Linked DNA regions of Nothobranchius furzeri. Each later gene encodes a partner of the first gene's protein in a complex. Links are inferred from orthologs where the notes say so. Each region holds a gene or a part of one and is shown in the gene's direction. Other genes may lie near its edges. The genes, in order: mtor, mapkap1 and deptor.

Region 1 (3,657 bases):
CAGTCTGTGGCACTGCTCAGGTGTTATGAGAGCCCAGGTTGCTCTGATAGTCGTCTTCAGCTCCTCTGCATTGTTGGGTCTAGCGTATTGCATCCTCCGCTTCACAATACCCCATAGATTTTCTATGGGGTTAAGGTCAGGCGAGTTTGCTGGCCAATCAAGGACAGGGATACCATGGTCCTTGAACCAGGTGCTGGTGGTTTTGGCACTGTGTGCAGGTGCCAAGTCCTATTGAAAGGTGAAGTCTGCATCCCCATAAAGTTGGTCAGCAGCAGGAAGCATGAAGTGCTCTAAAACTTCCTGGTAGACGGCTGCATTGACCCTGGACCTCAGGAAACAGAGTGGGCCAACACCGGCAGATGACATGGCACCCCACACCATCACTGACGGTGGAAACTTTACACTGGACCTCATGCAACGTGGATTCTGTGCTTCTCCGCTCTTCCTCCAGACTCTGGGTCCTTGATTTCCAAAGGAAATGCAGAACTTGCTTTCATCAGAAAACATAACTTTGGACCACTCAGCATCAGTCCAGTCCTTTTTGTCCTTGGCCCAGGCGAGACGCTTCTTGCGCTGTTTCTTGTTCAAGAGTGGCTTGACACACGGAATGCGACACCTGAATCCCATGTCTTTCATGAGTCTCCTCGTGGTGGTTCTTGAAGCGCTGACTCCAGCTGCAGTCCACTCTTTGTGGATCTCCCCCACATTTTTGAATGGGTTTGTCGTCACAATTCTCTGCAGGGTGCGGTTATCCCTAGAGCTTGTACACTTTTTTCTACCACATTTTTTCCGTCCCTTCGCCTGTCTGTTAATGTGCTTGGACACAGAGCTCTGCGAACAGCCAGCTTCTTTAGCAATCACCTTTTGTGTCTTGCCCTCCTTGTGCAAGGTGTCAATGATTGTCTTTTGGACAGCTGTTAAGTCAGAAGTCTTCCCCATGATTGTGGTGCCTTCAAAACAAGACTGAGGGACCTTTTAAAGGCCTTTGCAGGTGTTTTGAGTAAATCAGCTGATTAGAGTGGCAGCAGGTGTCTTCTATATTCAGCCTTTTCAGAATATTCTAATTTTTTGAGATACCAAATTTGGAGTTTTCATTAGTTGTCACTTATGAATATCAAATTTAAATGTAATGAACATTGGAAATACATTGGTCTGTGTGCATTGCATGAATATAATGTACAAGTTTCACGTTTTGAATGGAATTACTGAAATATTTTCAACCTTTTGATGATATTCTAATTTACTGGCCAGCACCTGTAAAAACAAGGCTCAGTGTTTGTGTTTCCATTCACCAGGCTTTAATCTACCCACTGACCGTGGCCTCGAAGTCGACCACCACGGCCCGACACAACGCTGCTAACAAGATCCTGAAGAACATGTGTGAACACTGCAACACCCTGGTTCAGCAAGCTATGATGGTAGAGAAATGCAGTCAGAGTTGTTCTTTACATTTAAAAATGGGTTTGTTTACAAGGTTTCTGCGTCAGTTGCAGAAAATCTGAGCAGATATGTTTTATGTAACATGAAAGAAAAAAATCCCCGTGTCGTTTCAGAAGCTGGAATTAATATCAGAGCAGGCTGACCTTTTACTTGTTGTCCTTGTTCATTCAGGTGAGTGAAGAGCTTATCCGAGTCGCTATCTTGTGGCATGAGATGTGGCACGAGGGCCTCGAGGAAGCCTCTCGTCTTTACTTTGGTGAGCGCAACGTAAGGGGCATGTTTGCTGTGCTGGAACCGCTTCATGCCATGATGGAGAGGGGGCCACAGACCCTCAAAGAGACCTCTTTTAATCAGGTTGGTTTTGCCTTAGTGTAGTAGGTAAATGTGGTGCAGCCTTGCATGACTTTCATTAATATGTTGTTTGCATGCTTCAGGCTTATGGCAGAGATCTGATGGAGGCTCAGGACTGGTGCAGGAAGTACATGCGCTCTGGGAACGTTAAAGACCTGACTCAGGCCTGGGACCTTTACTACCACGTATTCAGGCGCATCTCCAAACAGCTACCACAGGTGAGTTGTCGCAGGCTGCTGCCGCAAACCATCTTTACATCACAAACACAGACGTAGGAATATGTACGGCTAATGTTTTTCCAGGTAGAAAATATAGTCATGAGGAAAAGTGGCAACATGTGACGGGATAGGAATCTTATCCAGGTTCAAGGAATGGCAGAACATAATGAAACGGCATTTGGCAAAGCATGTTGGCGACTTGTTAGAGATACAAAATACCAAGAAAATGTGTAATATCTCTCGTCTAATCGCAGTGTCTTAATAGTATCGTATTTGTTTTTTGCAGTTTTGTCTCGTCTCTCTTTTTTTACTCCAGTAATTCACCATCTTACTCTCAGAGGTTGACAACTCTTTTTAAAGTTCTTGCCTTTCTTGTATTTTCCTATTTGAGATCTAATTGAGGCTCAAAACGCTCCCAACGATCCTGTGAGCTTCGTGAGGAGAAAAAGAACAGAAGAAGCTCTTGCTCTTGTCTTTTCTTTGGAGATAAAACATTGATGTTTTAGAGCAAACTAAGTCATTAATAATCATGTTACTGTTAGCCAATCAGAGGCAAGATGTTTGCATATCATAAATATTAATGAGTAAAACTTGTAATCCTTTTTCTTTCCGCCGACACACTCCTCTGACGCACCTCTACCACTAAAACAGGAGCATGAGAGATTTTCTTCCCTTTAAAAAAGACTCACAAAACATTCATTCATTCATACTAAAGACCATCAAAAATGTACTGGTAAAAACACGTTCATTTACTTTCAATTCCTTCTTTATCTTTAAAGCCACCTGCACCTGAAGCACCATTTTAATATTGTATTTAGTGTTGTAATGAGCCTGATCGTGGCTAGCGATGTAAGTACTTTAGTCATCATGAATGTTTATTATGTGAAGTGCCTTGAGACGACTCTTGTCTTGATTTGGCGCTATATAAATAAACTTGAATTGAATTGAATCTTTTGCTTTCATCATGGGTCAAAAGATTTCACTTAAATATTAGCCTCTGAAATGGGAAAGAAATCAAAAAGATTGATGCCGTTCCTCACCACCGTCGTTACAACGTCGGGGTGACATTAAAAATATTTCTGTCAGCAGCTCTTACTCCATATAATAAATGGAGATGGTAATCTGATTTGTCATCGTGACGTGGCCTTGCTGGCGGCGCGGCCGTCCTGCAGGGACATTACAGTCCGCAGCATGAGCAGCGCAGCTGTATAATAACACGCTGGGAGCAGTGCAAATATTCTTCCTTGGGGTATCGTCATAGGAATAAATCATCGCCAGGACGCATCCATACAGCAGATTTAGAGCAAGTTGGGGCCGTAACCATATGCAGTCAATGTAAATCAACGTTTACAAATTAACTTTGAAATTCTTTCAATAGTCTTTCAGGCTCTGATTTGATGGCTGCAGGAGCATGGAGGTAGTTTCTGAGACAACTTTCCAGAGATAAAACCTTAAATTCCACATTTCCAGTGTCCGAGTCCACAAATGCATTTTGCTTTGGGCTCTCTTTTTGTGCAAAACAGACTGAAAACTAATGATCTGTTTCTAAAATAAATTCATCAACTTTCCCTACAGCTCACCTCCCTGGAGCTGCAGTATGTGTCTCCCAAGCTGCTGATGTGTCGGGACCTGGAGCTCGCTGTACCTG
Region 2 (2,359 bases), on another chromosome or scaffold:
TAATGAAGTGACTGGAGGGTAAAGTTGTTAACAGGGATGCTGCATCCTGTCTGAGATGGGACTTATTTGTTTTAGAGCTGGTGGACTCCACACAACCAAGAGAGTTGATGATGTGCTTTTTCTGTTGTTTTCTTGCCTTACAGGTCATGCTATATTTAAACTCACCTATCTGAGCAACCATGACTATAAGCCTCTGTACTTTGAGTCTGATGCTGCTACGGTCAATGAAATAGTGCTGAAGGTGAGTTTTTTCTGACTCTGACTGTAACCTGCTCCTGTCTGAGGACAAACACTCACATTTCTCTACTGCTGTGGAAGAAACTCATTGGTTTAAATTGTTTACCTAAATGGTAAATGGCCTGTGTTTGTTATAGCGCCTTCTAGAGCCCTGGAACCCCCCAAGGCGCTTAACAACACAATCAGTCATTCACCCATTCACACCCTGGTGGTGATGAGCTACACTGTAGCTACAGCTACCCTGGGGCACACTGACAGAGGTGAGTTTGGTCCCTCCAACCACCACCAGCAGCAGGCAAGGCGGGTTAAGTGTCTTGCCCAAGGACACAGCGACAGACTGAGCGGGGCTCGAACCTGTAACCTTCTGATTACGAGGCGAGCACTTAACTCCTGTGCCACTGTCGCCCCAACAGGAAGTTGAGCCCAGGCCTGACAGATGTTTACAGTCTGATGTCTGTGCGTCCATTTGGAGCAACTCTTCAACACTCTAATTCAGTTAGGCTTTTTTATCACATGTTCTTTAATTAAAAACGTCCTTAATGAACATAATGGACAGTGATATTTGTAAATGGGACTGAAATGCTGCTTTCACCAAAGTGCTGCAGCTGGACTCAGGTCAGAGGAATGTTGCAGCTCATGGTGATAATCTGGTTCACCAGAAAGTTAAAAGAATAATTATTTTCCTCATTATTTTGATTATTTGTTTAGTTTGAGGTTTTCTGAACCTTTGAGGATAACCAGTGGTGGAGTATTAAAGTCCCACTCTGGCTGTTTTTGTTGAAACCACTTATGTCAAATGTACCTTGAGTGATTTTCATAAAAATGCCGTCATCCATCATCCACAGCATCCCTAAATATCCGGTTCTTTCTGCTCTGGGAGACCATTTTCCAGTGATGGAGACGGTTCAGATGTGATATTCTTGAATAGATATCTGAGCAGAACACATTCCATCATCACGCCATACATGCTATGACTGAAGCAGTTTTGTGTTTTGGGGTTTGCGTAGGTTAACTACATCCTGGAGTCTCGGGCCAGCACCTCTCGGGCTGATTACTATGCCCAGAAGCAGAGAAAGCTCAGTCGTCGGACAAGTTTCAGCTTCCAGAAAGAGAAGAAGACGGGTCAGTAGACAGAAGCTGCTGGTGCAGACCTTTTCCTGACCATCTGTCTCTCTGATGCTCCTGATCCGGAGCTGGAGACCTACAGGATAACAGGCAGGTTTTCCTGCTTTCGTTGATCCAAGCTGGAGTCTCTGAATCTCCGCAAGGGAGCAGATCACGTCAAAACGGAAACTTAATTTCAACAGACTGAAGAACTGTGGACAGTTTGGCTGTTGTGTAGCAGTCAAGTATTTTGTTCTCTCACTGCCTCTGTATTTAAATTCTGTCTTTCAAGATGTATTTGTAAAACTTCTACAAGTTGGTCGAGTTAGCCCAACAAACAGATCACAGCTACAGGCAAAAATCTGCTTCTGTTCCTTCTTTAACCCACTGGAGTGGGCCTGTTTTTATGTACTGTTTAAAAACATTTTCTATTCAGGAAATGAAATATTACAAACCATACTAGCTCAACTGCTTTGAATTACCTTCTTTCTCCAGTCCTCCTTCTGAAAGCATCGTTTTAACCATCTGGTACCTGCACCAGACACCTGGGTTATTTCTGGCCCTACGCTTTACCATCACCTACAAAGCTACTATTTCTTTTCATGAAAATTAATTAAGAAGCAGCTGAGATGGGTTGGAGAAGCATGAGATAACCCTGCAGCTAACTGGCGAAAACTTTTGCTCATCATTTTAACGGATGTTTAGAATCCCAGCGAGGGTTTAAAGGCGATCTGGAAAGTCTACCAGTAGTGTTAGAAATGTGTTGCTTCCATTGACAGCCCAGTGAGAGACTGGTTTAACTAAATGCTTCCAGACATTTGGAACGAACTAAAGACAAACTCACTGAGACTTAATGAAAATGAATTCAGAGGAACAGGACATAAACGGCATTTTTAAATTTTCCAACTGTCTGTAGAGAATGACACCAGTAATTTTATAATAATCCCATGTTTAATTAAAATAGAGATGTTTTGATTCGATGACCATGAAGGTTCAGTACAGTGATGCACAGATCCTG
Region 3 (3,657 bases), on another chromosome or scaffold:
CAATATTACCAGCTGCTGTTTGCATGTCCCACTTTTATAAAAGCACCTTTCACTTCCTGTCTGAGGGTGAGTTTAAACAAGTTGGACTTTGACCTGCAGGTATCTTTTCCTGCTCTCGTACGGTTCATTAGCGACCACTTTTGTAGGAAGTTTCTCCCGAGCGGCTGCCTAAATGAGTTTTTGCAGATGTCACCACATGACAGAAAAATGGACTTGGATCTAGAGTGTGATGAGATTAGACTGCTTAGAAGTTACATGGCTTCATTGCTGAAGGGTTTATTTTCTCTAAAAGCAGGTTGGAAGAAAAAAGACTCATTTCTGGTGATTCAATGTTTAAATTTCTTCTTGTTAAATGCCAAACTGCACTGACACTTCATCTTTTCATGTAGATGCATCCTAATGGAGAACTATAAAGGCTTCCTTCACCAAAACTCTGTTTTACAACAATAAATAAAGTGATTCCAGAACCTCCAACAAAAGTAAAAGTTTCTCTGTTCTCTCACGCCCAGCTTGAGGGGGAAAGATGGTTTAGGGAACAAACTACTTGGATTATGCAAACTTAGGAGAAATTCAGAGGTTACATTTTACTACTCAACTTCAGGAAGGAAAAAAAGTCTTTAGAGAAAATGACAAATGTGTTGTAAAGACCAGTCGTCATGTGATTCAGCTTTTTCTGCTCCTCCGTCTCTTCTGGGCCCTCAATGAGTCCATCTGTTCTCTTGTTTCTCATTCACTTCCTGTCCTCAAGCTCCAAGCAGCTGCTGCAGAACTGAGCAGCTCCAGAGCAGAAAAATGTAGAGACACACACACACACGCACACACACACACGTACATTAACAGGTCTATTAGCTTTCATTTCCACATCCGTTTCTAACTTCCTAATACAAAACCTCCTCATTACCTCATGTCTGTTTTTATGATTATTCAGTCACCAACAAGCATCACTTTGTCGACGGACTTCTTCTCTACCAGTTTCGCATGAACTTCCGGCGGCGGCGGCGTTTGATGGAGCTTCTTCAAGAACGCAGCCGCAGCATCCCTGAGAGTTACGACAGTCCCTTCTGTCTGCGTAAACAGCACTCGGATGGAGGGAACACCAGCTTCCTGTCAGGTACATATATGGACATGTAAAGTAACGAGTTGCTTTCTACTCCTCTGCCCTACTGGTTGAAAGTGGAATTACAACTGCCGTAAACAACCTTGCTGCAGCCTGCTGTAGCTAATACTAACAATGAGCTAAAAATAGCATGAGCCAACTAGTACTTATATAAACCAAGAAGTAAAAGAGCCACACTATTGGAACTGAAAAAAAAAATTATATTTTTCCAGCAGCAACAAAGCCAGGTCACCATCAGTCCGTGATTTTGTAGCTTCCTTTAGCTCCTGCTAACTAGTGTAGGGTGTGTCGATGTTCACTCTGGTTCTTAACCTCCAAAGTTATTACTCTCTTATTTGTCCTTCCAGGCTCCACCACGATCCCAGCAGAAGCAGCTAACTTCTTTTTTTCTTCTTCTTGAGCTTTTTATTGACGATCGGCAAACTGAAAATGCTAACCACTAGCATCACAGCTAACAGCTGTGAAGCAGGCAAAGAGTACCTCTTAGGACACCTACCGGCTCCACAAAACAATCAAGTGCAGTCTTTGGTCAGCTGAGGGCTGCAGAGTGGTGTCAGATATAAAACTGGCCATGTTTCTAACTCAACAATCACTGAGATAAATGATAAAACTCAAGCTTAACGGTGTGGATGACTGAAAAAACAAATTCTAATGATTATTTCTGATTATAATTAGTCACTGAGTTTTTCACACAGGCTACCCCTATCTCATTAGCATTAGCTTCTGATAGAAAGTAGAAGATGAAATGCTAGGATTTGACAAGTCTCACATATCTATGTCACACTGTCGTGCCCGCCCACAGGAGGGCTTTTTAAAACATTTTGCAGCAAGGAGAGAGAGCGGAGAGTGTCTTTGTGGTGGTGACTTAGCAACATGGCTTAAGACATTCTGTTAGCCAATCAGAGGCAAGGTGTGTGCATATCATTAATAATAATGAGCAGTCCTGATGTTTAAGACCACCTCTGCACCAGCTAACTTCTGCATCTCAGAACAGGAGCATCATAGCTTTTTTATTTTTCTAATGACTCATAAGGCTTTGATTTACTCTAGAGAACACTACAAATGTATTGAATAAATGAGTGAATCACACCTTTAAAGTAGAAAAAAACAATCTGTTGTTAAACAGGAAGGACATCTGTTGTCTTATTTGGAAGCCATGTTTAAAAGCCGGAGATTATCTGTGTTTTTGACACGTTTACTTCATGTTTTTTATTGTTTGTCGACTCCGATCCATGAAAACGGACACTGTAATAATTCTGGTGGGCTGGACTCATGTTCCTGTTATAAGGTTACCAGGGCAGCTCTGTTTGTGTTGCTAGGTGGACTCTCGACTCTTTATCACATCTCCAAAAGGACGTTTCTCAGCTGTAGTTGCTTGTGGTTACTTTGGTATTCACTCTTTAATCAGAAAAGTTTGAGTGTGTAGGAGTTTGACAGAAATAATCTCTAGCATCTACTGTTGTTGTTGAACACTTGTGGAACATGCTTTTATTGTGAAAGGGGTTTCTTTGCTCATAGTTGCTTGTAAACAAAAAATAAGATGCATCATAAAAGTGGAACTGGGTTGTTTGAATCAGCAAGTCGTGGTGGAAAAAGCAGCAGTGGAACAACAAATGTTTTCCGTCTAGCCAGTCGTGATCAGTTGAATCTGGGAAGGAACTCATGTGAAATCAAACCTATTTTAGAAGTTTCAGGTAATTCTGTAGCAGAATTTATTATGAAAAGCTCATAAAGAAGTGAAATGACTGATAAAAGCTGCCAATGCAAAAGCATTTGTAACAAACAACATCTTACATGAAAACGTGAGGTTCATCAGGAATATCGCCCACAGCTGATGGAATTCCTCATTACAAACACGGAGATTCTGGTGCAGCTAGTGAGGAACGCTGCTCTGCTTTGGGACTCAGACGTAAACATCTGGCTAGGTGGATTTCATAAGCAGCTACTTCTGCACCTTTCAAAATGTCTTCATAATATTTTTATTTAGTCCGATATGATGCTGAGTCATTGAGCGTGTCTCGACGTTGGCTCATTCATCTTTATCGTAGCTAAAGATCAGAGCTTCACATAACAAAAGAACTAGCTCCAAGTGCAGTTGTTGTCATTTTGAAACCGTAAAAGGTGAAAGATTCCTAATGTGATCTTATGCACAGATCTAAGTCTTCTTCTGAAACAAAGGCAGAGCAGCATTTTTATTTGAGTAGAATGAATAAAATACATTTAAAAAGCTGCAGGTCAACCGTTCTACAGTAGCCCTAAACCAGGGATTCCCCAAGTGTGGTGTGCGCACCCCTGGGGGTGCGCGAAGTGTAATGGCTGCGGAGCTCAGAGAAGTCTGTCATATGTCACCATTAGCGTAGCCAGAAACTCATTTGTGGGCGGGCCTAAGAAAAAGTAATGCAATTGAAAACAAGTGTATTTTGCACGCGCGCGTGCCCTAGCTTCATAATAACAATGCGCCGAGCTTCAGCACTCTGGCCTGTGCACGCCGATATGTTCCGTATTTGATCATTTTTAACGGTGTTGGAGGAATCTGAAGG

Evidence for each region.
Region 2: mtor (region 1) and mapkap1 share a complex: the UniProt entries of both Homo sapiens proteins name them as parts of the mechanistic target of rapamycin complex. The link is inferred for Nothobranchius furzeri from reciprocal best matches to the Homo sapiens genes MTOR and MAPKAP1.
Region 3: the proteins of mtor (region 1) and deptor are in contact, whole or in part, in a cryo-EM structure (PDB 7PEC), measured with the Homo sapiens proteins. The link is inferred for Nothobranchius furzeri from reciprocal best matches to the Homo sapiens genes MTOR and DEPTOR. Residues at the interface, in NP_001373429.1 of Homo sapiens: Met304, Gly305, Phe306, His1494, Cys1498, Trp1501, Gln1525, Asp1527, Ser1528, Glu1530, Glu1531, Cys1534, Met1535, Ile1536, Arg1538, Arg1547, Gln1554, Leu1556, Leu1559, Gln1562, Cys1563, Lys1566, Arg1683, Leu1685, Asp1686, His1687, Lys1710, Ile1711, Phe1714, Gln1715; in NP_073620.2 of Homo sapiens: Arg54, His56, Leu57, Lys58, Thr59, Tyr60, Pro61, Val101, Arg116, Lys119, Asp121, Gly122, Thr123, Phe124, Lys131, Ala132, Arg135, Arg138, Lys142, Glu177, Gly178, Glu179, Glu185, Cys304, Asn305, Lys307, Gly335, Asp336, Ala337, Val338.

Annotation. Positions count from the first base shown.
Region 1 is NC_091755.1:52,431,970-52,435,626, reverse strand, and holds part of mtor (serine/threonine-protein kinase mTOR), read left to right. Parts: intron 1-1,295; coding exon 1,296-1,418; intron 1,419-1,611; coding exon 1,612-1,794; intron 1,795-1,874; coding exon 1,875-2,009; intron 2,010-3,584; coding exon 3,585-3,657. UniProt on the Homo sapiens protein: Serine/threonine protein kinase which is a central regulator of cellular metabolism, growth and survival in response to hormones, growth factors, nutrients, energy and stress signals.
Region 2 is NC_091746.1:37,017,378-37,019,736, forward strand, and holds the end of mapkap1 (target of rapamycin complex 2 subunit MAPKAP1), read left to right. Parts: intron 1-143; coding exon 144-241; intron 242-1,244; coding exon 1,245-1,367; 3' UTR 1,368-1,809; downstream 1,810-2,359. UniProt on the Homo sapiens protein: Component of the mechanistic target of rapamycin complex 2 (mTORC2), which transduces signals from growth factors to pathways involved in proliferation, cytoskeletal organization, lipogenesis and anabolic output.
Region 3 is NC_091745.1:40,951,126-40,954,782, forward strand, and holds part of deptor (DEP domain-containing mTOR-interacting protein), read left to right. Parts: intron 1-928; coding exon 929-1,111; intron 1,112-3,657. UniProt on the Homo sapiens protein: Negative regulator of the mTORC1 and mTORC2 complexes: inhibits the protein kinase activity of MTOR, thereby inactivating both complexes. DEPTOR inhibits mTORC1 and mTORC2 to induce autophagy.